Linked DNA regions of Callithrix jacchus. The protein of the gene in region 4 binds, or shares a complex with, the protein of the main gene of each other region. Links are inferred from orthologs where the notes say so. Each region holds a gene or a part of one and is shown on either strand. Other genes may lie near its edges.

Region 1 (4,001 bases), on a different chromosome or scaffold from region 4:
TCCCTTGAACCAGGGAGTGGGAGGTTGCAGTGAGCCGAGATTGAATGCCACTGCACTTCAGCCTGGCGACAGAGTGAGGCTCTATCTCAAAAAAAGAAAATACATATATTTCTGAATGTATACATATATACACTGACTTACCCTTCAATTGTCTTTTCTATTTTGTGGCTGTTGACATCCAAGAAACGATGAAATCTAATAAAGACAAAATGTAGCTCTTATGCCAACTCGTCACATAGGTAAGTGAATTCATTTCATGGCCCTCCGCATCGCCCATAAGCCCTGTACTCAGCTACACATTTTCAGAATGGAGTGTACCTCGTCCTCCGTTACCTTCACCATCAGGCAGGCAAATAAGCCTCGGGTCCAGGACTATGCAAGCATCCTTTCCTCAGCACACAAATGCTTCCTGAGCCTCCCAACCTTGTTCTCTGGCTCCTCTATCTTCCCATAAGGCCCCGTATCTAAGTCCAGCAGAACACATTCTACAACAAGTGTTCCCAATCTTTCTACGTCATAGTGAGGCCCAGTGAAGCATAAGGACCCCTTCTCTGAATAACGTTTTTAAATGCCAAAAAAGAAATACAAAGGAATCCGATTATACTGAGATAAGTTGTCAAATATTTCAGTAAGTTTATGGCAAGAAATGTTATTTATGAAAGCATTAAATAACAACATTTAGCAGTAGGTCCAATAACCATTAAAATAACAGTAAACAACATTTACAAACATCTACCACTCTTACTATAATGCGAAAACAGTATGCGATTTCTACTGGTAATAAAAGTCATAGGTAGTCTAATACTACTAGGATTTTCTGCCTTCATTCATAATGGAAGGAGATGCTACTTTTCAGTTAGAGATTAGTAGAATATTTTCCTCATCCAAATTGACAAATTTCTGAATTATAAAAGTCCCTATCATATAATATACTGTGATTAACTTTTGTCTCTTTCTTAAAGACGGAGGCTATATCTTACTCATCTTTGAATTTCTAGGGCCTAGAATTCCAAATGGCCACAATTTAAAAAAATGTAAACATGTACTATTCATTTTTCTGATGCTTTAAAGCATCATAAAATTAGAGCATAGCCTATGCAACTAATGTATATGTATACAGCATAGCCTATGCAAAAAACGTTTTGCCTTTTAGTATCACAGCCAGCAATCTGTACTCAAAAGAAATACAATTTCACTACTGAAAACAACATCTGATTCTATTCCAATAAATGGCTAAATGGAACACCACTTTACCTATGATTTCTTTCCTGAAATCTGTGAAAGTAAATACTAACCTCTAAGGTCTCTTCCAGCTCTAAAATGATGAACATCTGCTGCTGTCATTTACGTATATTAATAGAAAAATAACTTGGGATTCAGCATTTACATTTCTGTATTGTATAACCTATTTCGCACACTGTTTATTTTTATAAGTTACAGTTAAGAATTCAGTTATTACTTCGGAAACTTGGCATGCTTTAAAAGAATCTGAAAGCCCTGTATTCCTACTACGAACCAACTAACTAGATACTTTACCGGCTGTGATCGTTAAGGTAACTAAGATCACAGGTTTTGAAAACCTAATCATTATTCAAGAAGATTTTTACTGAAATTAAACAGGTACGACATGAACATTCTTTCAGTAATAATTTCATTATGAGTAACGAACTAAAGTATTGTTTAATTTACATCTCCCATAAAGAAAAACAGGAGATCTCAATCCATCTAAATATCTAAACTCTGTAAGTCTCTAAAAATTAGTTACAAGAGGCCGGGCTTGGTGCTCACGCTTGCTATCCCAGCACTTTGGGAGGCCAAGGGGTGGGGGGGCAGATCACGAAGTCAGGAGATTGAGACAATCCTGGCTAACATGGTGAAATCCCGTGTCTAAAAAAAAAAAAAAAAAAATAGCGTAGGGTGGTGGCATGCACCTTGGGGAGGCTGAGGCAGGAGAATCGCTTGAACCCGGGAGGCCGAGGTTGCAGTGAGCAGTGATCACGCCACTGCACTCCAGCCTGGGCTACAAAAACAAAACAAAACATAACAAAAACCAACCAACCAAACAAGAAATTAGTTACAAGAGAAACTGCATTAGCAATGGTATTAGGTGACTTAGCGTGCTACGTGCCAGGAGCTGTGCAGGGATGCAGCATTCTAGCTGGAGTGCAAGCAGAGGAGACAGTAATGACAGGTTACATCAGTGTCCTAACACGCGTTTTTGAAAAAGGAAAGCAGAGTGAGAGGGAGCTTGTACTGGCTGACGAGAGAACAGAAATCAGTGAGAATACAATCTCTTTACTTAAAAAGAAAAAACTATATAGAGATGGAGTTGCTACGTTGCCCAGTCTGGCCTCGAGTTCCGCCTGGGCCTCCCACAGCGCTGGGGTTGCAGGCGCGCGTCCCGCCCTGCAAGAACCCAGTTCCACGCTTCCCCCGTGACTATCAGGAGAGCCTGGCCGGCGTGGAGCTGGCGGCGGCAGGGCCTGAGAGGGCTCCACGAGGCCGCGTCCGCCTCCGTCCCCGCTCCGCCCCGGCGCATCCAGTTCCCGGGTTCCGCGGGACCCAAGCGCGGGATCCGGGCTGGGGCCTAGAACCCGCCCCCGCGCCGCGCCCCACACCTAAAGTTGGACCAGGCGAAATTTAGGGCGAGCTGGAAGTTGGGGTCTGTCTCGTCCTGGAGGCCCGCGACACTGCGGATGAGCTCCCGCACGTCGCGCTCCTGCTGCGCGTCCAGCCGGCTCCAAGGATGTCCATGCAGCGCCATGCTCCGCCATGCTCCGCGCTCCCGCAGCGCGCGTCTAGCCACTTGGCGGCTGTTCCCGCGAGAGTTCGGGCTCTCGCGACAGTAGCTTTCTGAGCTGGCGGTTTTCTCGCGATAGTTCGAGCTCTCGTGCCGGGCATCTAGAGAACTGGCAGCTGTTCTCATGGCAGTTCGCGCTCCCGCTCTCGCGGCTACGGCTTGGCGCTGTTCCTTGGCTGGGGCTGGAGTGTACATTTCCTGGTTGCGCGACGGTACGTTTTCCATTGTACTCAGCCGGTGTCATCGTGTCGTATATAAGGATCTCTGGTCAGCCTCGGTGATGATCAGTGACCCTGAGAGCAGCCCGTTAGGTGCCCGGTCAGCATACGTATTGGGACCCGCCTTTCCAGGAACCGTGACCTGCTTAGCTGCTGAACCCTCCTGGCGCTGCAGCTTCTCCCTCCAGTGATGATCTCTGCGGATCTCGGTGCCCCATCCACACAACACAACCAGCATCGGCGTAGCAGCTGTCCCGACCCGCTAGCAACCCCAGTTAGCTCCTGCTCCTCCTGCTCCGCAGGGGCGGCCAGGGGGACTTCATAACCCCATCCGTCCAGAGGTGCGGGGGACTTCATAACCCCACTGGCCAGAGGTGATGGGAGGACTTCATAACCCCCCCGGCCAGAGGTGATGGGAGGACTTCATAACCCCCCCGGCCAGAGGTGCTGGGGAACATCATAACCCCCCCGGCCAGAGGTGCTGGGGGACATCATAACCCCCTCGGCCAGAGGTGCTGGGGGACATCATAACCCCACGTGGCCAGATGTGCTGCGGGGGGACTTCATATTTGTCACCTGGCCAGAGGTGCTAGGAAGATTGCATAATCCTCAGCTGGCCAGAGGCGCAACACCGTTTTTGTTGTCATCAAAGCTGTACCTCTTCAGTGACAATTTTAACTATTGCGTTAAGCAAACCCTCCCCCAAACCCATAACAAATCCCTCTTTATGGTTTTCATGTGATTTATTATCTTGCATTAGTGTGGTAATAGTCGACAACATCTAAAACATAGACAGCATGCTACTGCACACATCTCCTTAGGAGGAGAAAATCACAGCATTAGAGATTATTCGACTGAAGGGAAGTCATACTCTGCCTAGGCAGCCTTTTCGCCTCCAGTTTCAGCTCTCGTCTTTATGCCGGTTTCCCATACCTGTACGTGCAGCTCATATTTTTCTTGACGCACCAAATCCATAATCTAAT
Region 2 (3,983 bases), on a different chromosome or scaffold from region 4:
CCCCATCTTTATAAAAATACATTTTAGGTCAGGCATGGTGGCTCACACCTGTAATCCCAGCCCTTTGGGAGACTGAGGCTGGTCGATTATGAGGTCAGGAGTTCGAGACCAGCTGGCCAATATGGTGAAACCCTGTCTCTACTAAAAATACAAAAAAATTAGCCAGGCGTGGTGGCACGTGTCTGTAGTCCCAGCTACTCGGGAGGCTGAGGCAGAAGAATCACTTGAATCTAGGAGATGGGGGCTGCAGTGAGCCGAGATTGTGCCATTGAACTCCACCCTGGGCAACAGAGGGAGACTGTCTAAAAAAAAAAAAAAATTTAAATGGCCAGGCACAGCTCACGCCCGTAATCCCAGCACTTTGCGTAATCCCAGCACTTTGCGTAATCCCAGCACCTTGGGAGGCCGAGACCCGCGGATCGCTTGAGTTCAGGAGTTTGAGACCAGCCTGGCCAACATGGTGAAATCCTGAATGTACAAAAATTAGCTGGGTGTGGTCACGGGCACCTGTAATTCCAGCTACTTGGGAGGCTGAGGCAGGAGAATTGCTTGAACCCAGGAGGCGGAGGTTTCAGTGACCTGAGACCGTGCCACTGAACTCCAGCCTGGGCAACAGAGCGAGACTCTGTCTCAAACAAACAAACAAACAAACAAAAACCATATATATAAATTAGCTAGGCATGGTGGCACATGCCTGTAGTTCCAGCTACTCGGGAGGCTGAGGTGGGAGGATCACTTAAGCCAGAAGTTCAAGGCTACAGTGAGCTATGATCGCGCCACTGTATTCCAGCATGGGTGACAGAGCGAGACCCCTCTAAAAAATAAAAAATAAAAAGGTTACATACATGTGTATGTGTGTATTGTAACACCATTAAAAAACAGAAATTTAAAAGAAGAAAAGCTGGCTTCTAGCACCTGGAACTAGCAAAGCTGACAGTCACTCACCTACCAATATAGGTAGGTGACTCTATACCTGGACAACCACATCCACCTGGTTGCTCCGCCCCTTTCTTCCCCTCCCTGTCCCTCTGCTCCCCTCCGCGTCCCTTCCCTCTCCTTCCCTCTCCTCCCCTCTCTTCCCCCCACACATCCAGGTTCCGACCTTGCCACCCCCAACGAGTCTCACTGCGCAGGCGCGGACCGGTGGGCAGGAGCGGGCGTGGCCTCACTCTGCGCCTGTGCCGAATTCCAGCTGCGACTGCTGAGGGAGAAAATGATGCCCAGGTTGGGCTCCTCGGCCCGCCGGCCGAGGAAAGGCCTGCGTTGCACACGCGCAGACCGAGCATCCGCGTCAAGAGGGGAAGAGAGAGCGCGCTCCCCACGTCTGGCGCGCCTGGCTGCCAGGCATTCGTCTCAGCCGTGACTCTCGCCAGGCCGGGGCTGGCGCGCCCACGTCTGAAGAGTGATGCCCCGGGAGATCATCACCCTGCAGCTGGGCCAGTGCGGCAACCAGAGTGAGCAAGAGAGCGCCGGCCCCGCCGGTCTCTGGTTCTGCCCCTTCGGGTCCCACCCAAGTGCCTGGCTTCCACCTTTCCCTTCCATGAACCCCCTACCCTGCTGCTCTGGATAACCCGACCAAAGCTGCGCCTCCAGCCCGGAGCTGGGGCAGCTCCCAGACCCCCACATCTTGGGTCCACCCTCTGATCGTGTCAGCCTCTGAGACTAAAACTGGGTTCCTCAGGCCTTAAGGCTCTAGCAGACCCGGGCATCTCCCTCCTCCCCCAGTTGGGTTCGAGTTCTGGAAACAGCTGTGCGCCGAGCATGGTATCAGCCCTGAGGGCATCGTGGAGGAGTTCGCCACCGAGGGCACTGACCGCAAGGACGTCTTTTTCTACCAGGTGCCCCCAGCAACTTGGCCAGGGGCGGCAGTGGCCCAAAGGGCCGGAAGGGAAGGGAGTGGCCTGGTACTGGAAGGGGAGCCCCACTGGGCAAAGGGGCCAGGCGGCTGGCTTGAGGAGGGAGGGCCCAGGGAGCCAGAGTTGGGAGGACTTAGGACTTGGGCCGCCCTGGCTGATTGGTCTTCCTCCTGGACTCTCCTTGACAGGCAGATGATGAGCACTACATCCCCCGGGCCGTGCTGCTGGACCTGGAGCCCCGGGTGATCCACTCCATCCTCAACTCCCCCTATGCCAAGCTCTACAACCCAGAGAACATCTACCTGTCGGAGCATGGAGGAGGAGCTGGCAACAACTGGGCCAGTGGATTTTCCCAGGTGTCCAGGCCACCATTCCAGAGACCTTTGATATTCCCACCCAGAGGCAAGGCAGGCTCAAGCTACTAGGAATTTGACCAGACTGACAGAAAATAAGAGAGAAAAGGATGCCCAGAACAAGAGAGACAGTCAGGGAGAGGTTTATGCAAATTTTGTGCAAATCATTTGCAAAAGTAGCACTTCTGGGTTGAGGGCTACAGCCCTGGGTCTGCTTCAGGGTGGCAACAATATCCCAGGGAAGACAGAATTCTTGGTGCTGTGCTGAGAAAAGATGAGCTCTGGAACCTTTGTCCTGACTCCTTTTCCATATCTCTATACAGGGTGAGAAAATTCATGAAGACATCTTTGACATCATAGACCGAGAAGCAGATGGAAGTGACAGTTTAGAGGTGAAGTTATGGAGCAGGGGAAGGAATGGGAGGGAGGCTAGGCTGAAGAGTGCTGGGGAAAGGTCAGGAGGTGGCCTGAATAGGTGATGTGAGGGGAGCAATTCAATTCAAAACCCATTTATGGAGCATCAGATGTGGAATATTGAGGTAAATAAGATATAGTCTTTGTTCTCAAGGAAGTCATAAATCGGGATGGCACCGGCCCCTTAGGCATGAGTCATTCAGCTTCTTCACCAGCTCCAAACCTTCCCAAGGAGCCTCAGCCTGGATACATAAGAGGAAGCTTTGAGACATGGGCGTTTTGGGAATGGGGAATGAGTCATGCCGAAGTCTCTCCCCCAGAACCTTGGAGACTGCCTCTCCATCTCTCCCCATGCTGGGTGCAGTATGTTCCCGGCTCACAGTTCTTATAACCCATGTAATTTCCTAAGAGACTTGAGCAATAAGGGTATGTTTTGTTAAAATATTTGACCTTTTGTCCTTGGTTTCTGAAACAGCTCCAGAACAGCTCCAGAGTGATAAAGGTGAAAGACAGTCTGTTATTTATAACACGCCCCTTTCTTTTAATCTGTCATTTTATTTAATTAGTTAATTTTACTAACCACTGTACTAAGGAGGAACAAATGCCTTTCAACCAAATCTGAGCTTATGTCATTGAGGTGATGTTTGGAAAGTCCCAGATAGCCACTGGATTGGGGGCTGGTTACCAGGGAAACAAGCCTGGTGCTCTGAGGGTTGGAATTTACAGGCCCACCCCTCACCTCTGGGGAGGGGAGAAGGAGTGAAGATTGAGTTGCGCATCAATTGCCAGTGATTTAATCAATCATGCCTGTGTAATGAAGCCTCCATAAAAATCCAAAAGGACTGAGTTCGGGGGCTTCCAGGAAGGTGAGCAAGAATACATCCACATGCTGGGAAGGTGCAAACCCAACACACAGGGCAGAAGTTCTGTGCTCCAGACCTTTCCAGAGCCTCCCCTCAATGTCTTCATCTGGCTGTTTATTTGTATCCTTTAAAATATCCTTTATAACAAATGGGGAAACATAAGTGTCTCCTTGAGTTCTGTGAGCTACTGTAACAAATGAATTGAACCCAAGGAGCAGTCCTGAGAACGCTGATTTATAGCTGGTTGGTCAGAGGCACAGCTAACACAACCTGAAGCTTCTATTGGCATTAGGAGTAGGAGAATCTTGTGGAACTGAGCCTTCACTCTGTGGGATCTGATGCTATCTTCAGGTACAGATACTCCTCAACTTACAATGGCTTTATCAGGATGTAAACCCATCATAAATTGAAAATGTCAACTAGGCATAGTGGCTCATGCCTGTAATCTCAGCACTTTGGGAGGCCAAAGCATGTGGATCACCTGAGCCCAGGAGTTC
Region 3 (3,500 bases), on a different chromosome or scaffold from region 4:
AATGTGAAAAAAGAATAAAGAGTGAAAATTTAAAAACTGGAACACAAGAGAGATGCCTAAACCCTGAAGAGCAAGGAGTGCACTGAGGAGCCTCTGGGTTCTGTGTCTTCATAGGCTGCTTTGGGCTAAAGCTGGTTAAGACTGATTCAGACCTTCTCTTTGGAATGAATTTTCTTTTATTTCCCCCCGACACACTCTTGTTGCCCAGGCTGGAGTGCAATGGTGCAATCTTGGCTCACTACAACCTCCACCTCCCGGGTTCAAGGGATTCTCCTGCTTCAGCTTCCTGAGTAGCTGGGATTACAGGCATGCGCCACCACACCAGGCTAATTTTTTTTAAATTTTATTAGAGATGGGGTTTCTTCATGTTGATCAGGCTGGTCTCGAACTCCTGACCTCAGGTGATCTACCCTCCTCGGCTTCCCAAAGTGCTGGGATTACAGGATTGAGCCATGGAATGAAAATTTTTAATGACTCAAACAAGGGTATGATGAAAACATTTCTAGAGAACAATCTTTATGTCATTTAAACTGTGCAAGTCAACGGAAATAGATCCCCATACCCTTAAAACAGGACGGTGGTGAGCTCATCAAGGGGCTTCATGGTTTCATTTCTCCAGGCAGACCTCACTCATCCTCAGAACTGCATGTTCTTCACTGGGGCATTTTAGTCTTTACTACCAGTATGTAATTGGAATAATAACACTAAGATAGGCCTGTCTTACCTGCTTTCTTATTCTGAAGGACAAGCAAATCTTAAAAGTCCTCTGATATACTCCAGCTGGGTGACTTGAATCAGAAGAGCTTGCCTTGTTCTTACTTAGTCTTGAGCTAGCGTTTTGCCTTCTCTCAGTCTGAGGTTGTTCCTCCCACTGGGGTTATTTTATAGCCCAAGTATGATTGTGGGTTTAATGAAGTCAAGTATTGAGATACATTTTAAAAACAGTTTTGTGCTCTGCAGATGTAAATCAGCAATAAAAGCAGCTCTATTGTGTGGGTAGTCTCCACATGGAGACTGTATTTCTTATCAATAGAAAGCTATGGAAGTGCTTTTTTCACCCGTATTACTGCTTAGAGTCAGGCGTCTTTCTTGGTGACGATCTGGTTTTGTACCCTAGACGTCTCCAGCAGTCTCCCTGGAGTTCACTCTGTGATGTGTGATAATACTCCTCAACTTTTCGAGTTGTATAATTCATCAGGTTTATTTGCATGTGTTGCTTTCATCTTGAGACTAATTTATGGAAATGTCTTATGGATGTGGACAGGTGACTCAGTACCCACTTGCCCTATTACCAGTGTGTTTTGGTGGGATTTCAGGTTAGTTATAGTGTAGAAAGGGACTTGGAAATCATAAAGACACAAATGTAGGTGTCTGCTGTGAACCCAGCTGGCAGCAGCATTTTCATCTTTGTGGTCTCAGGGCTCTGGTCTCCTGTGGAGCGTCCAGCTGCCTGTGCCTGGGGTCAGTCTGTTACTGTTGCCACAGACAGTGGTTGGCCCTGAGGCTGGACGCGTGTGCCTTCATTTCTCCTCTGTGAAAATACAAGTTACGGATGCCTGTGTGCTTTCCCCTGTTCTTTCCAGCTGCAGACTTATTCACAGACTTAGAAAATGCATTTCAGGGTAAGATTGATGCTGCTTATTTTGAGACCAGCAAATACCTACTGGATGTTCTCAATAAAAAGTACAGCTTGCTGGACCACATGCAGGCAATGAGGCGGTACCTGCTTCTTGGTCAAGGAGACTTCATAAGGCACCTAATGGATTTGCTGAAGTAAGACACAGTTTTGATTTCTTTAATATATTTGACATGATAAAGAGTCTTGTGTTTAAAAGAATAAACGATATTAAAGGAAAATGAGTTGAATTCTTACAGAGCATATTTTTTGAATAAAATCGGAAAAGAATAACATTTTCAAAAGTTAAAGTCCCTTTATTTTTGCTCTGTTTTCAGTAGAGCATCATTGTCATGTCCTGTGCTTTATTCAGAAGAGAAGCTGGTTTTTCTTAACAAAACTGTGGCGCTTCAACAGTCTTTACGTGTGAGGAGTTGGTCTAATCAAAATGAACTTGAGCTTGAGTTTGAAATAAATCTGAAAAATAAAATATATTTTAAAATTGAATTTTACTTTCATATTTGTAGTTAATGTTTCACATAAAAACACAACTTCTGCTCTTTTCATTTTGTTCCCCGACATTTCTCATGGAGTCTTCCCTTTCAGAATTAAGTGTGTGTTATTCTCTACCAGGAGACACAGAGGCAGTTCTGGACTGGAGCCTGCTGTGCTCCTGGGTCTAGAGACAGCACAGAGCCGAGGGGATAGTGCAGACCCCTGCCCAGGTGGCAAGAGCCAGGCGTGAGCCCCCAGCAGGGCCACGTCACGGGCCTGGAGATGTTCACTCTGGTGTTTATAAGAATGAAACTTCTTTTCTTTAGATGTTCCTTTTACGACACTTAAAATGTTCCCTTTAAGATGCAAAATAGTAACTTACCTTTAAATCCTGTCAGGGCCGCCCAAGCAATTGTTTTAGGCCTCAGGTCCTCAAGTGTCAGTGTATTCCAGACTAGAAAGCCTGCTGCAGTAGCTTGTGGGCCCGCTTCCCGAGAATGAGGTTCTCAGGTGTGGGGTAGAGCTCGAGGATTTGCACTTCCAGCAAGTTCCCAGCGGCTGGTGATGCTGCTTGAGTGGGGTTCCACATTGAGAACCACTGTTTGAGGCATGCAAGCTCTCCTGCCTTCTCGCTGGAAGCCACTCTTCCGTGTGAAAACTGATGTGGCGTTTTGAGGCATACAGAGCCATAGCTGGCTTGCGACAAGCTCATGTCTTGGTCATAGCTGATGTCTGCTGACAGGTTTGAGTTATAATCACGGAAGCAGCATTCTGCACTGTGAGAAGGTTCACTAGTATGATAAATACCTGTGATGAGGTCAACACCTGTTTATGAGTGGTGGTGAGTTTTTCAAGGGAAAATGGTCTCTAGATGCCATGGTGGTCTGGGGTGTGTATGTGGGTCAGTTGCTGCAGATGGAGATTAGAAACCAAAGTGAGGTTTAGGACCATGATGGTGTCATAGGTCACATCAGATAGCAGCCGAATGCATTAGCCTTGTGCCCAATTTTAAAGTTGAGTGTTGCATTCTTGCTATTAAGTGAAAGATTCGTTTCTCCTCAATGTTGTATTTTACGTTTCTAGTTTTTAGGCTTATTTGACGTTGTGTGTCTTTCTTACCTGTCTCTGCCCTGCATTTTGTAGCGCTTACACATATACCTGAGTTGATTGGTGATGTCCTTAACTTGGTCACCCTGATTAGAGACATGTTAGCTCCGTGGTTGTAAAAGCAGATGTCAGTACCCCTCAGAAAACGCTTGCTGAGAGTGTAGTGGTTCTTGGCCCTTTAGAATCATGACACCCACATACCCTGATGAGATGGAGACCTCTCCTTCTACCATCGGGTCTAAAAGGAAATTATATCAGCTCATGTAACTCATAGGCCAGCCTG
Region 4 (3,500 bases):
TCCCAGCACTTTGGGAGGCCAGGGCAGGCGGATCACCTGAGGTCAGGAGTTTGAGACCAGCCTGGCCAACATGGCAAAACCCTGTCTTTACTAAGAATACAAAAATTAGTTGGGTGTAGTGGTGCACACCTGTAATCCCAGCTACTTAGAAGGCTGAGGCAGGAGAATCACCTGAACCCGGGAGGTGGAGGTTGCAATGAGCCAAAGTCACGCCATTGTACTCGAGCCTGGGCGACAGAGTGAGACTCCGTCTCAAAAAAAAAAAAAAGAAATGGGGTTTTGTTCTTTTGCCCAGGCTGGTCTTGAACTCCTGGACTCAAGCAATCTACCCGCCCTGACCTCCCAAAGTGCTGGGATTACAGGTGTGAGCCACTGCCTGGCTCAAAACATGGATAAGTTTAACATAATGTTCAGATGAGTTTTCTTAGTTTGTTTCAGAGAGATGATTATTTAGCCTACCCAAGTTTAACTCTTGGTTCTTTGTGCTTAATTTTTTTGAAGATTTTTTTAAAGTGCTTTATTAATTACTGTCATTAAGTCACTCATGTTTGTGCTTTTGAGGTTAAAATTGCAGAGTTCTCTCGTACTCCAGAAGACTTTCTAAAGAAATATGACGAACTGAAATCTAAAAATACGAGGAACCTTGACCCACTGGTGTACCTGCTGTCAAAGCTCACGGAAGACAGAGAGGTAGGTGCCATGCGGCCTGCCATGCGGCACCGTGCACCCGTGTCGGGATTGAGGTGGCATCTCGTAGGTGCCATGCGGCCTGCCATGTGGCACCGTGCACCCGTGTCGGGATTGAGGTGGCATCTCGTAGGTGCCATGCGGCCTGCCATGTGGCACCGTGCAGCCGTGTCGGGATTGAGGTGGCATCTCGTAGGTGCCATGCGGCCTGCCATGTGGCACCGTGCAGCCGTGTCGGGATTGAGGTGGCATCTCGTAGGTGCCATGCGGCCTGCCATGTGGCACCGTGCAGCCGTGTCGGGATTGAGGTGGCATCTCGTAGGTGCCATGCGGCCTGCCATGTGGCACCGTGCACCCGTGTCGGGATTGAGGTGGCATCTCGTAGGTGCCATGCGGCCTGCCATGTGGTACTGTGCAGCCGTGTCGGGATTGAGGTGGCATCTCGTAGGTGCCATGCGGCCTGCCATGCGGCACCGTGCGCCCATGTCGGGATTAAGGTGGCATCTCGTAGGTGCCATGCGGCCTGCCATGTGGCACCGTGCACCCGTATCGGGATTGAGGTGGCATCTCCTGCCCTCTCCACGCCACCATCCCGTCAGTTCACCAGTAACACTTCAAGGCCAGGTAGGACATTTGTGGTGAACCAGAGTGAAAGATCACCCATGATGGATGTAAACCTGAGAAACAGCCTCTGGGGCTGGGGGCTTCTCGTTTCCCGTGTGTTGTGCTGGATTCCTGCCTGTTATGTGCGTCGCTTTGCTATTAAGAGGAGCACCTGCCATCCTGGTGGTGGTGTCCCTGCTCATCCACCGTGGCCAGGGTTGTGCTGGCCTGGTGTGGAGATTTGCGTGTTTGCATGTTTTTAGACTCTGCAGTACTTACAACAGAATGCGAAAGAAAGAGCTGAGCTTGCAGCCGCCACTGTGGGCAGCAGTGCCACCAGCATCAGCGTCCCTGCGGCGGCCTCCAAGATCTCCATGCAGGAGCTCGAGGAGCTGAGGAAGCAGCTTGGCAGCGTGGCCACGGGCTCCACACTGCAGCAGGTACTGCATCTGTGGCTGTCCACAGGCGCCCACTCTCACTGCTGTGCCGGGCCCCTGCTGGAAGGGCACGTCTCTGTCATTTATTATTAGAGAGACTGAGGCTTAACACTTAATCATGACCTAGCTCTATATGTTTAATATTTTTTAAACCTAGAATTCTGGACCACAAGAAAAAATACCAGCGAGGTTCCTACCCACTTGGGAGTCACGCTGCACGGTGGCATGTGGCTCTGACCCCGCCCAGTCCTCACTCCGCATTCATGCCTCTAATTTCTGACAATTTTGAGGAGATGCTTTCAGATTATTCTATTTTCAAGACTCTTGAAAATAGAACCGTTTTTGTTACCTCATCTGTATGTACTACCTGACTTTGTTTTGATTTTCTGTCCTGCCCTGGTCTTTTGATGTAAGTCATCTCCCAGTCTCTCTCCTTGGAGCTGCCACGTTTCTGCCTTTGTGGCCTTTAAACTTCCTTCAGAGCTGCGTCCTTGAGGCATCCTGGCCTTGCCGGGTGTGTGTCGAGTGCAGTGGCTCCAAAGGACCCGGCCGGTTGCTGGACACATCTGTGCCGGATGTGATGCCAGGCCTTTGTCCACGTCTCCCTCAGCCATGGCACCGCTCTCCCCGTGTGGCATGTAAGGAGACAGACTGGGTCTTACTGCCAAGTACAGAGACAGTTTGCACCGGCCACTGTCCCTGACCCACCCTGAGCGGAAGTCAGTGCTTCCGAAAGCTGGGCCAGCCCTGGCCAACTTCGTCAGCCTCTGGCAGCCACTGGTACAGGAGGGCGGGTGCTCTGACCACTTTAGGAGCCACCCTGTTGTGGCGCTGCTGCCTCAACCCTTCCTGGGGCCCTTCTCCGGCAGGGTGAGGATGCTTGTCTGTTGCTGAAGCCTGTTTTCACCCAGCAAAGGTAGTCACTGCCAGGAGGAAGCAATTCTGATTGTTCACAGGGCGCCCTTCTCTGAAACAGCTGCTCTGTGCCGGGGTGCAGCCTCTCCCATGGTTTCCCCTGCTGGTGCTCATGGTTCTTGGGGGGCCCCTTGCTGGACCTGGACCCCTGAGAAGAAGGGCTAGGACTCCCATCTGCCCTGTTCCCAGCCCCTCACGCTGTGGCAGTGCCGAGGTGCACTTCGTTTCTGTGTGGCTGAGTCTTTATCGTCTTTGCAAAGACGATTGTTTCCGCGGGTGTGTCTGTTGTACACTAAAGTGTACCTTTCTGGTTTGTTTTAAAAACGTCCTTGGTAGTCTCTGGAACTTAAAAGAAAGATGCTTCGAGACAAGCAGAACAAAAACAATTCAGGCCAGCACCTCCCGGTCTTCCCAGCGTGGGTGTACGAGAGACCTGCACTGATAGGAGATTTCCTGATTGGCTCCGGCGTGAGCACAGACACGGCTTTGCCGATAGGTATGTGACGCGTTTATTTCTGGCCTCTGCCTGGCAGGACACTGCAGCGCAGCCCTCCCCTGGGCCTGCCTTTCCTCAGGTCCCGAGGCTCCACTCTGACTGGCCGCCGCCTCCGCATTCCCATCCCTGGGTGGCAGCAGAGAGTGGCTCACCAGGGTCCTGGAGGTTCTTCTCCTGTCCCTCCTGCCGGAGCTGCGAGCTGAGCTGCAGGACAGCCTGCAGCCGGCCCCTCCCCAACCAGCATCCTGGTGCCCTGGTGCCCTGGTGCCCTGGGGCAGACCTGCAGGCACCAGAACCGTGTGCAGCTCTCATTTTGACTCCGTAGGTTTCGTTACGGCCGTGCTCTCGGAGGCCTCTTAAAG
Region 5 (3,500 bases), on a different chromosome or scaffold from region 4:
TTAATAATTTTTTTTGTTCATTATATTGTTGTTTCTGGTTCTAGCATGATGTAAAGAATCATCGTACCTTTTTAAAGCGGACCAAATATGATAACCTGCACTTGGAAGATTTATTTATAGGCAACAAAGTGAATGTCTTTTCTCGACAGTTGGTATTAATTGACTATGGAGATCAATATACAGCTCGCCAGCTGGGAAGTAGGAAAGAAAAGTAAGAAAATAATTATGTATTCTTTTTCCATTCTCTGACTTTAAGCCCAAAGTCAGGCAGAATTAAGACTGGGAGGTTTAACCATAATGAGGACAAATAGGACCTGGAAAATGGTTGTCTTCATTCTTTCTTTTTCTTTTCTTTTTAATTGAAAAATAATTGATAATATCATAGTTGTTTATGTCTCATCTGACTTAATCATATTTATGTCTCCTGTGGCACTTAGCACGTCTCCTTCCATAATGCAAGCACCTTCTCTGTATTAGCTGAATGAATTCATAAATCACAATTTAAAAATCTATTATTTATTCTTTCCTTTTTCCATTTTCTCCCTGTTTTCAAATGATGATCTTTGATATAGTTGACCAGGAAGATTTTGTCTAGATTGTTTGTAACTAATGCTGTCTGTTCTTGAGCTTTATTAACAGACATATATATCTAAGAAATGTTGATCAACTGATCAATTGAAAAATGACAATATGAGTGTTGTAAAAAGGAAAAAGGAAAGAAACCATATAAAGAAATTGTGATACTGGGAGACTGATCTGTCTTGTTTGTAACTGTATCTCTAAAAACTGTTATAGCGATACCTCAAACAGTAAATTATTCAGAGTGTGACCCACAAAAGTTTGTTAAATAAATGAGTGAATAAATTGATGTCATCGAAATGTCTGGAGTATGGTATGTCAAAGGAAGGGTTTCCCAATGGCTGGCATCCCGCCTCCTTCTCTTCCTCCCACTGCATGTGGCTCATTCTATGAAAGACAAACTGTAGCATGATGCCTCCACCTGTGTCTCTATTCTCTCTATTGTTTGTCAAAACTGCATTTATCATTCATTTTCTCAGTTTTGATTTAGAAGAGATACAGTCATCTGTAAAAGGGGTTAAGAAAAAAATTAGAAGAGAGAACAATTTGAAGATGCAATTGAAAGTTAGACTTACAGAAAACTAGGACTTTTGATAATGTTTTTCTTCCGAATATTGATTTTCAATATTAGCACAATGGCATTTTAATTTTCAGTCTCTGCATTTATGAGTTTCCAGTTTCTAAGACTAGAATTAATTATATTTGAAATGAAATTTTAATTCCTTTGTCATCTTTCTTGGCTCTGATTGCTGTAGCTTATATTTTATATGGTTTGGGGAGATTTTTTTTTCCTGCAGAGTGATTGGTATTGTAACTAAAAATAGGGATTATTAGTAGAAGTTAAGACTGTATGTATAAAAGGCTCCAAAAATGACTTAATTCAATAGGGAAAACAAATCAATCAAACTGTTTTTTGAAATCTACTACTCAAATGATTAGCTGATTGCATAGCATCTGAGTCACTCTCATAATAACATGGTATCTCTTTCTGTGACTTCCATAGTCTTTCTATACAAGCACTTTATAATTCTTGAGGTGACTGGATTCTCAGTGTGGCTGTTAGTACACAAATGGTGTTAGTACACAAATGGATCAGAGGGGTGGTGAATGCCTCATAAAAAAGGAAGACCAAAGACTCCCTTTGAAATAGGACAAACATTTCAGATATTAAATAAGGATCTTTTAATGTTATGAGATCTTATGTAAAAGTCTATGGGATTAAGGAAATGCCAACCATAATTCCTTTATTTAAAACTAATAAATATATGTAGCATTCGTTTATGGAGCACATACTATATGCCAGTCATTACAATACTCACTTTACATACACCTCAGTTCAAGACTACTTTATTTTATTATTATTATTTTTGAGACAGGGTCTGCTGGCTCTGTCACTCAGGCTGAAGTGAAGTGGCATGATCATAGCTCACTGTAGCCTTGACTTCCCAGGCTCAAGTGATCCTCCCAGGTCAGTCTCCTGGGTAGGTGAATCTACAGCCCTGCACCACTATGCCTGGCTAATTTTTTGGTGTTTTGGTAGAAATGCAGTTTTGCCATCTTGCTTACGCTGGAAGACTACTTTAAATATTTAAACTAGCAAAATAAGTGACTTAGGGAGGCAGGGTTAAGAGTCTGACCTAATAAAAATAAAATAGCCATTAAAATTATAATTTACATATTTTAATTCTGATTTGACAGAAGTGAATGTTGTTAAATCTATTTTATAGAATGGGTAAGTAACTTGTCTGTAGTCACACAGCTAGAAAGTAAAGGGAAATTGTATTTTTTGTCTAAAATTCATTCTCTTTCTACTAAACCTCTAATTAATAGGGCAGGTGCTGTTGAATGGGACTGATTTGAAAACAGGAGGAACGGAAGAATTCTATTTTAATATGAAGACAAATTTGAAGTATTTGGGCTTCATATAGTTAATGAAAATATATACAGTATATATTTTACTAACTCAAATTGATTCACCATCTTCTCTTCTTACTCTTTCTTAACTCCATATGGGTTAGAAAATCCAGCAGCCCTTTGGGTGATTTAAATAAATTTCTTCGAAACCCAAGAGTTTCAAAAATGTATTGTTTTATTTAAATGGCAAAAAGTAAAGATATGAAAATATATGTATATGTCTGTCAGCATTCTACAGAAACACCTTCTGTATAATAACTGATTTAGTCTAGTTCTCAGTTTTGTATAGTGTTGAGGAAAATTTATGAACGAATTACACTTTAGTCTTTTGTTTCTGTAATAAAGCTGGTAGTGAGGATGATCAGTGAAATTGATCCCATGGAGCTAACTGAGGAGCAGTTATCCAGATAATTTAATATAATTCAATTTAACTCATGAACTAGCTTCAGCTTTCCAATTCCCTTCGACTGTAGAAATCTGACATTTGGTTCACATTTCTATCCTCTCTATATAAAGATCCTCTAATCACATGGATGAAGGTTACAAGTTGTCAATGAGTCAGTCTTTGATTTTAATTTTAGCTAGTAATCAATTGATGCTTTATGACTCTGTTGTTTAGTTGTAGAGACACAATACAATTTGTGTCTTTCTAAAAATTTATTACCTCAAACCAGAAATAATTAAAAAGTTTTCATATGAAGAGTCAATATATATATGTATGTGTGTACATGAATGATAGAGGAATTTTATATGACAAGGAAGCTATTCCCCATATGATAAATGAGGTATTAAATGTTTACTTTGGTAGCTTTATAGCTATAGTAAGAAGTTTATAAAAATTAATGAAAAATAATGCCAGTATCCTATTTAAGAATTCATTAATTTTAAGTACTGAGCCACATATTTACATTCAGCAGTCCCATTCCTTTTGAATCTCAGCCGGAAAGCAAACCATCTAATCAAATGAAAGGGAGAAAGGTGAACAACATTATAGTAAATGCTAAATA
Region 6 (3,500 bases), on a different chromosome or scaffold from region 4:
CTTCAACTCAACAACTCTCCATAAGGAGGAGGGGGCAGAGGGGGGAGTTTCTTGGAAAAGCCTTGTTCAAAATTATATAGAACCACCTGGCCTTCCCACATTCCTATTTCTATTAGTTCCTAAAATGACTTGTACCAAATCTATACTTGCATGACTTCCTATGAAAGTACGCTTTCATCAGGAGGAATTTAGTAGCTGGTTTCCAGTTAACATATTTTGTCAAGTACCGAGGTTGGGGAAAACCCGTTTTGATTATAAGCAGGTAATTATCTCAGTGAGATGGGGTTTAGTTAGTTCAAGGAAGTAAGGAGGGGTAGGATGTGAGGAAGTTAGAACAAAGCCAGTGCTTATTTGGTGGGCTGAATAAACTATTCAGGACTGAACTACTTTTGAGCACTATGAGGTGGCACAGTAATTACGTGCTTCAAAGGCAACTGATACCAACATTTTAATCTTTGTATCTTCTTTCTGTGCGTGTGTGTATTGAGGAAATGTCTTAATGATTCAGAGGAAAGATAATGAATTCTCCATTGGCAAAACCACCTCTATCCTTTCAGCAAGGCTGCATACTTCCAGGCAGACGCACCTTCACGAGAATGCTCAGCTGGGCGGCTCCACGCTCATCCAGTGGGCCTAGGTTCTGACTGACCAGCGAACAAAAACTGTGACAGAGATCTAGGATTTCATTCAGGCAGTGAAATACCTACCCAGGAAACAGAGTTGGCATTAGGAAAAGGAAGGAAGGTACCTTCATGAAATTAAAGATTTGGGAGAACAGTCTAATTAGTAGCTGACCTCCCAAATCTGAGAAGATAGACACTGCCACTTTGCAAGGCCTGCCAGCCCCTCAAATACACATAATGTGTAAAACAAACACATCCCTTCCTGGCTAAGCTGGTATTACTCTCTCAGCCCTGCAGCAAACCTCCACTCTGGCCACATTTAACTCTTCGTTTCTTAGACCCACAGAGTGTGTTCCTGCCTCTGAGCTGTGAGTGTTGTTCCCTTTGCCCCGGATGCTCTTCTTTTTAATACTAGTTCAGGTCCTACCCACTCTCTCAGTGAAGCACTCCCTTCCACACTGTAGCCTTTAGTGAACCCCCATTTCTTGCTTCTTTATTATCTGTACTGTTGTCCACTTGGCAATTGTTCAGGCCTCTGTGTTGTTAATGATTTTTGTATGTATATATGTCTTGTTTTTCCAACTAGATTGTGAGCTCCTTAAGGGCAGAGCCATGACTTATACCTCTTTGTATCCCCAGTGCCTTGCATACAGTAAGCACTCAATAAATAATTAACGATGATGATCTCTTCTGATAGTCTGCTTTTCCCTACAGATACATCTGTGCCACATAAAGACAGTGTCTACCCATCACAGTAGTTTTGGGTTATTTTCAGCCAGCCCTTTGGACTGGCATCTATTAATATATAACTTACCCTTCTTCGTACAGCAGAAATAGCCCTAAACACCAGAACAAAATGGTCCCTAACAGCTGTGCTACAGCACACTGAGGAATAACAACTAGCAGTGTTATGTCAGAGATGAAGCATAACCATTACATTAGAAACTACAAGAGATCATTTCAATCTTCCTGTTCTTTATCCTGGAATTGGAACTAGCTTGTGAGCTTTAAAAAATATTGGTACCTGGATCCCACTATTATAGGGACTCTAATTTAAGTGCCGTCACCTAGATATTTTTAAAGGGTCCTGATGATTCCAATGTAGTGCGATAAAGGAGATACATTATGTACTTAATAGAAACACGTACACACATCCAGAGAGAAACACTACTTGTCTATGAAAAGAACTCTCAAATGAATGATCCATCCTGGTCCAAAGACTTCTTAGAAGGTGGACTCCATATGCTTTTCATTGGTTTCTCTGTACTGTCAAGCAAGGTTTTTGAGTTTAACTCCTGAGCGTTTAAGCACAAATAATTCTTTCATCTATAGCTGCTTACCATGCCCTATAATTTCAGAAATTCAAAGACATCTTAGGTCCCTTTGAACATGCCCTTTTAGTTTTGCTTTATACATTCTTTAAAAATGTTTTAAAATGAGTAATTGCTTAATGATAGTTTCATTTCTTGTCAACTAAGAGTGCCTGAAGGAATGGTCAGTATTAGAAGCAGTTTAGGAACCAATGACTCTTACTTACAGGTTTCAATAGGATAAAGGATTGAGCCAGCAAATTGCTCAGGAAGTGGTCATGAGCCAATCGGATGCTTTCAAAGTCTCGGGTAGAATTGATTTGATGAAGCAGCTGGGAGAACTGAGACTCCAACACATCTACCTGACAGACATTACACAAAAATTTTAGCACCTTGCATATTCTAAGGACTAGTTGAAATGAAAATGCTTTGCCCCCACTCATCTTCCTTCTAACCAAGCCACTTTTAAGGCTAACCAAAGACACCCTTATATTGCCCACCCTTGTAGGAAGTTACTTGCATAATTCTTTACCCCCTCCAACGGCTGACCCCCTCCAATGGCTTTACCCCCTTTACCTTGGCTGACCACTCTCCCCTGTCCCATCTTTTTTTCTTTTTTTGAGATGGAATCTTGCTCTGTCTCCCAGGTTGGCGTGCAGCACAATCTTGGCTCATTGCAACCTCTGCATTCTAGGTTCAAGTGATTCTCCTGCCTCAGCCTCCTAAGTAGCTGGGATTACAGGTGCCCACCACCATACCTGGCTATTTTTTCTATTTTTTCGTGACCTCAGGCGATCCACCTGCCTTGGTCTCCCAAAGTGCTGGGATTACAGGTGTGAGCCACCGTGCCTAGACTCCCCTGCTCCATCCTAACCCACTCATGTCACATCCCCTCCACTGACTGATTTGGTCACCTATTGGATTCCAGAAGTGATAGCAAAGAATAAAAATAAGGGGCAAGTCAATAATAAATAACAGATTGCTGATAAGGAGCCTTTAAAATGCCTTTAAGAGGCTAATGTCAGTTCATGCCTATAATCACAACACTCTGGGAGGCAAACACGCAGGAGGATCACTTGAAGCCAGGAGTGAGGTGTTTTTTTTTTTTTTTGAGACAGAGTCTTGCTCTGTCGCCCAGGCTGGAGTGCAGTGGTGCAATCTTGGCTCACTGCAACCTCCACCACCTGGGGTCAAGCCATTCTTTTGACTCAGCCTCCCAGGTAGCTGGGTCTATAGGCATGTGCTACCACACCCAGCTAATTTTTCTGTATTTTTAGTAGAGATGGGTTTCACCATGCTGGCCAGGCTGGTCTTGAACTCCTGACCTCAAGTGATCTGGCCACCTCGGCCTCTTAAAAGTGCTGGGATTACAAACGTGAGCCACTGTGCGTGGCCGAAGCCAGGATTTTGCGACCAGCCTGAGCAATAAAGTGAGACTCCATCTCTACAAAAAAATTTAAAAACCTAGGCATGATGGCATGTATCTGTAGTCACAGCTACTTGAGAGGCTGAGGCAGGGGGATCACTTGAATCCAGGAGCTTGAGGCTTCAGTGAGCTATGACTGCA

Evidence for each region.
Region 1: TUBGCP2 (region 4) and TUBGCP5 share a complex: the UniProt entries of both Homo sapiens proteins name them as parts of the gamma-tubulin ring complex. The link is inferred for Callithrix jacchus from reciprocal best matches to the Homo sapiens genes TUBGCP2 and TUBGCP5.
Region 2: TUBGCP2 (region 4) and TUBG2 share a complex: the UniProt entries of both Homo sapiens proteins name them as parts of the gamma-tubulin ring complex. The link is inferred for Callithrix jacchus from reciprocal best matches to the Homo sapiens genes TUBGCP2 and TUBG2.
Region 3: the proteins of TUBGCP2 (region 4) and TUBGCP3 are in contact, whole or in part, in a cryo-EM structure (PDB 8Q62), measured with the Homo sapiens proteins. The link is inferred for Callithrix jacchus from reciprocal best matches to the Homo sapiens genes TUBGCP2 and TUBGCP3. Residues at the interface, in NP_006650.1 of Homo sapiens: Gln172, His173, Pro175, Ile176, Phe177, Pro178, Trp180, Arg184, Ala186, Leu187, Ile188, Gly189, Phe191, Leu222, Tyr223, Val226, Val228, Asp229, Gly230, Arg231, Glu278, Ser281, Phe283, Gln287, His290, Ala291, Ala294, Arg297, Val300, Lys301; in NP_006313.1 of Homo sapiens: Glu272, Asn273, Cys274, Ser286, Leu287, Asp289, Thr290, Val292, Arg293, Glu296, Trp299, Ser361, Thr363, Leu364, Arg365, Leu368, Val369, Tyr372, Lys375, Ile376, Lys379, Ala382, Ala383, Asp386, His387, Ala402, Tyr403, Lys405, Thr406, Gly407.
Region 5: TUBGCP2 (region 4) and NME7 share a complex: the UniProt entries of both Homo sapiens proteins name them as parts of the gamma-tubulin ring complex. The link is inferred for Callithrix jacchus from reciprocal best matches to the Homo sapiens genes TUBGCP2 and NME7.
Region 6: TUBGCP2 (region 4) and TUBGCP4 share a complex: the UniProt entries of both Homo sapiens proteins name them as parts of the gamma-tubulin ring complex. The link is inferred for Callithrix jacchus from reciprocal best matches to the Homo sapiens genes TUBGCP2 and TUBGCP4.

The regions. Positions count from the first base shown.
Region 1 is NC_133507.1:1,819,763-1,823,763, reverse strand, and holds the start of TUBGCP5 (gamma-tubulin complex component 5), read right to left. Parts: upstream 2,801-4,001; 5' UTR 2,765-2,800; coding exon 2,619-2,764; exon of another isoform or gene 1,296-2,618; intron 196-1,295; coding exon 142-195; intron 1-141. UniProt on the Homo sapiens protein: Component of the gamma-tubulin ring complex (gTuRC) which mediates microtubule nucleation.
Region 2 is NC_133506.1:121,228,168-121,232,150, reverse strand, and holds the start of TUBG2 (tubulin gamma-2 chain), read left to right. Parts: upstream 1-1,183; 5' UTR 1,184-1,405; coding exon 1,406-1,454; intron 1,455-1,725; coding exon 1,726-1,838; intron 1,839-2,044; coding exon 2,045-2,212; intron 2,213-2,532; coding exon 2,533-2,601; intron 2,602-3,098; coding exon 3,099-3,125; intron 3,126-3,983. UniProt on the Homo sapiens protein: Tubulin is the major constituent of microtubules, protein filaments consisting of alpha- and beta-tubulin heterodimers. Gamma-tubulin is a key component of the gamma-tubulin ring complex (gTuRC) which mediates microtubule nucleation.
Region 3 is NC_133502.1:28,000,516-28,004,015, reverse strand, and holds part of TUBGCP3 (gamma-tubulin complex component 3), read left to right. Parts: intron 1-1,583; coding exon 1,584-1,773; intron 1,774-3,500. UniProt on the Homo sapiens protein: Component of the gamma-tubulin ring complex (gTuRC) which mediates microtubule nucleation.
Region 4 is NC_133513.1:126,631,928-126,635,427, reverse strand, and holds part of TUBGCP2 (gamma-tubulin complex component 2), read left to right. Parts: intron 1-561; coding exon 562-690; intron 691-1,553; coding exon 1,554-1,730; intron 1,731-2,978; coding exon 2,979-3,138; intron 3,139-3,500. UniProt on the Homo sapiens protein: Component of the gamma-tubulin ring complex (gTuRC) which mediates microtubule nucleation.
Region 5 is NC_133519.1:33,151,153-33,154,652, forward strand, and holds part of NME7 (nucleoside diphosphate kinase homolog 7), read left to right. Parts: intron 1-44; coding exon 45-211; intron 212-3,500. UniProt on the Homo sapiens protein: Possesses an intrinsic kinase activity. Displays 3'-5' exonuclease activity with a preference for single-stranded DNA. Does not seem to have nucleoside diphosphate kinase activity.
Region 6 is NC_133509.1:31,143,768-31,147,267, reverse strand, and holds part of TUBGCP4 (gamma-tubulin complex component 4), read right to left. Parts: intron 2,296-3,500; coding exon 2,161-2,295; intron 704-2,160; coding exon 587-703; intron 1-586. UniProt on the Homo sapiens protein: Component of the gamma-tubulin ring complex (gTuRC) which mediates microtubule nucleation.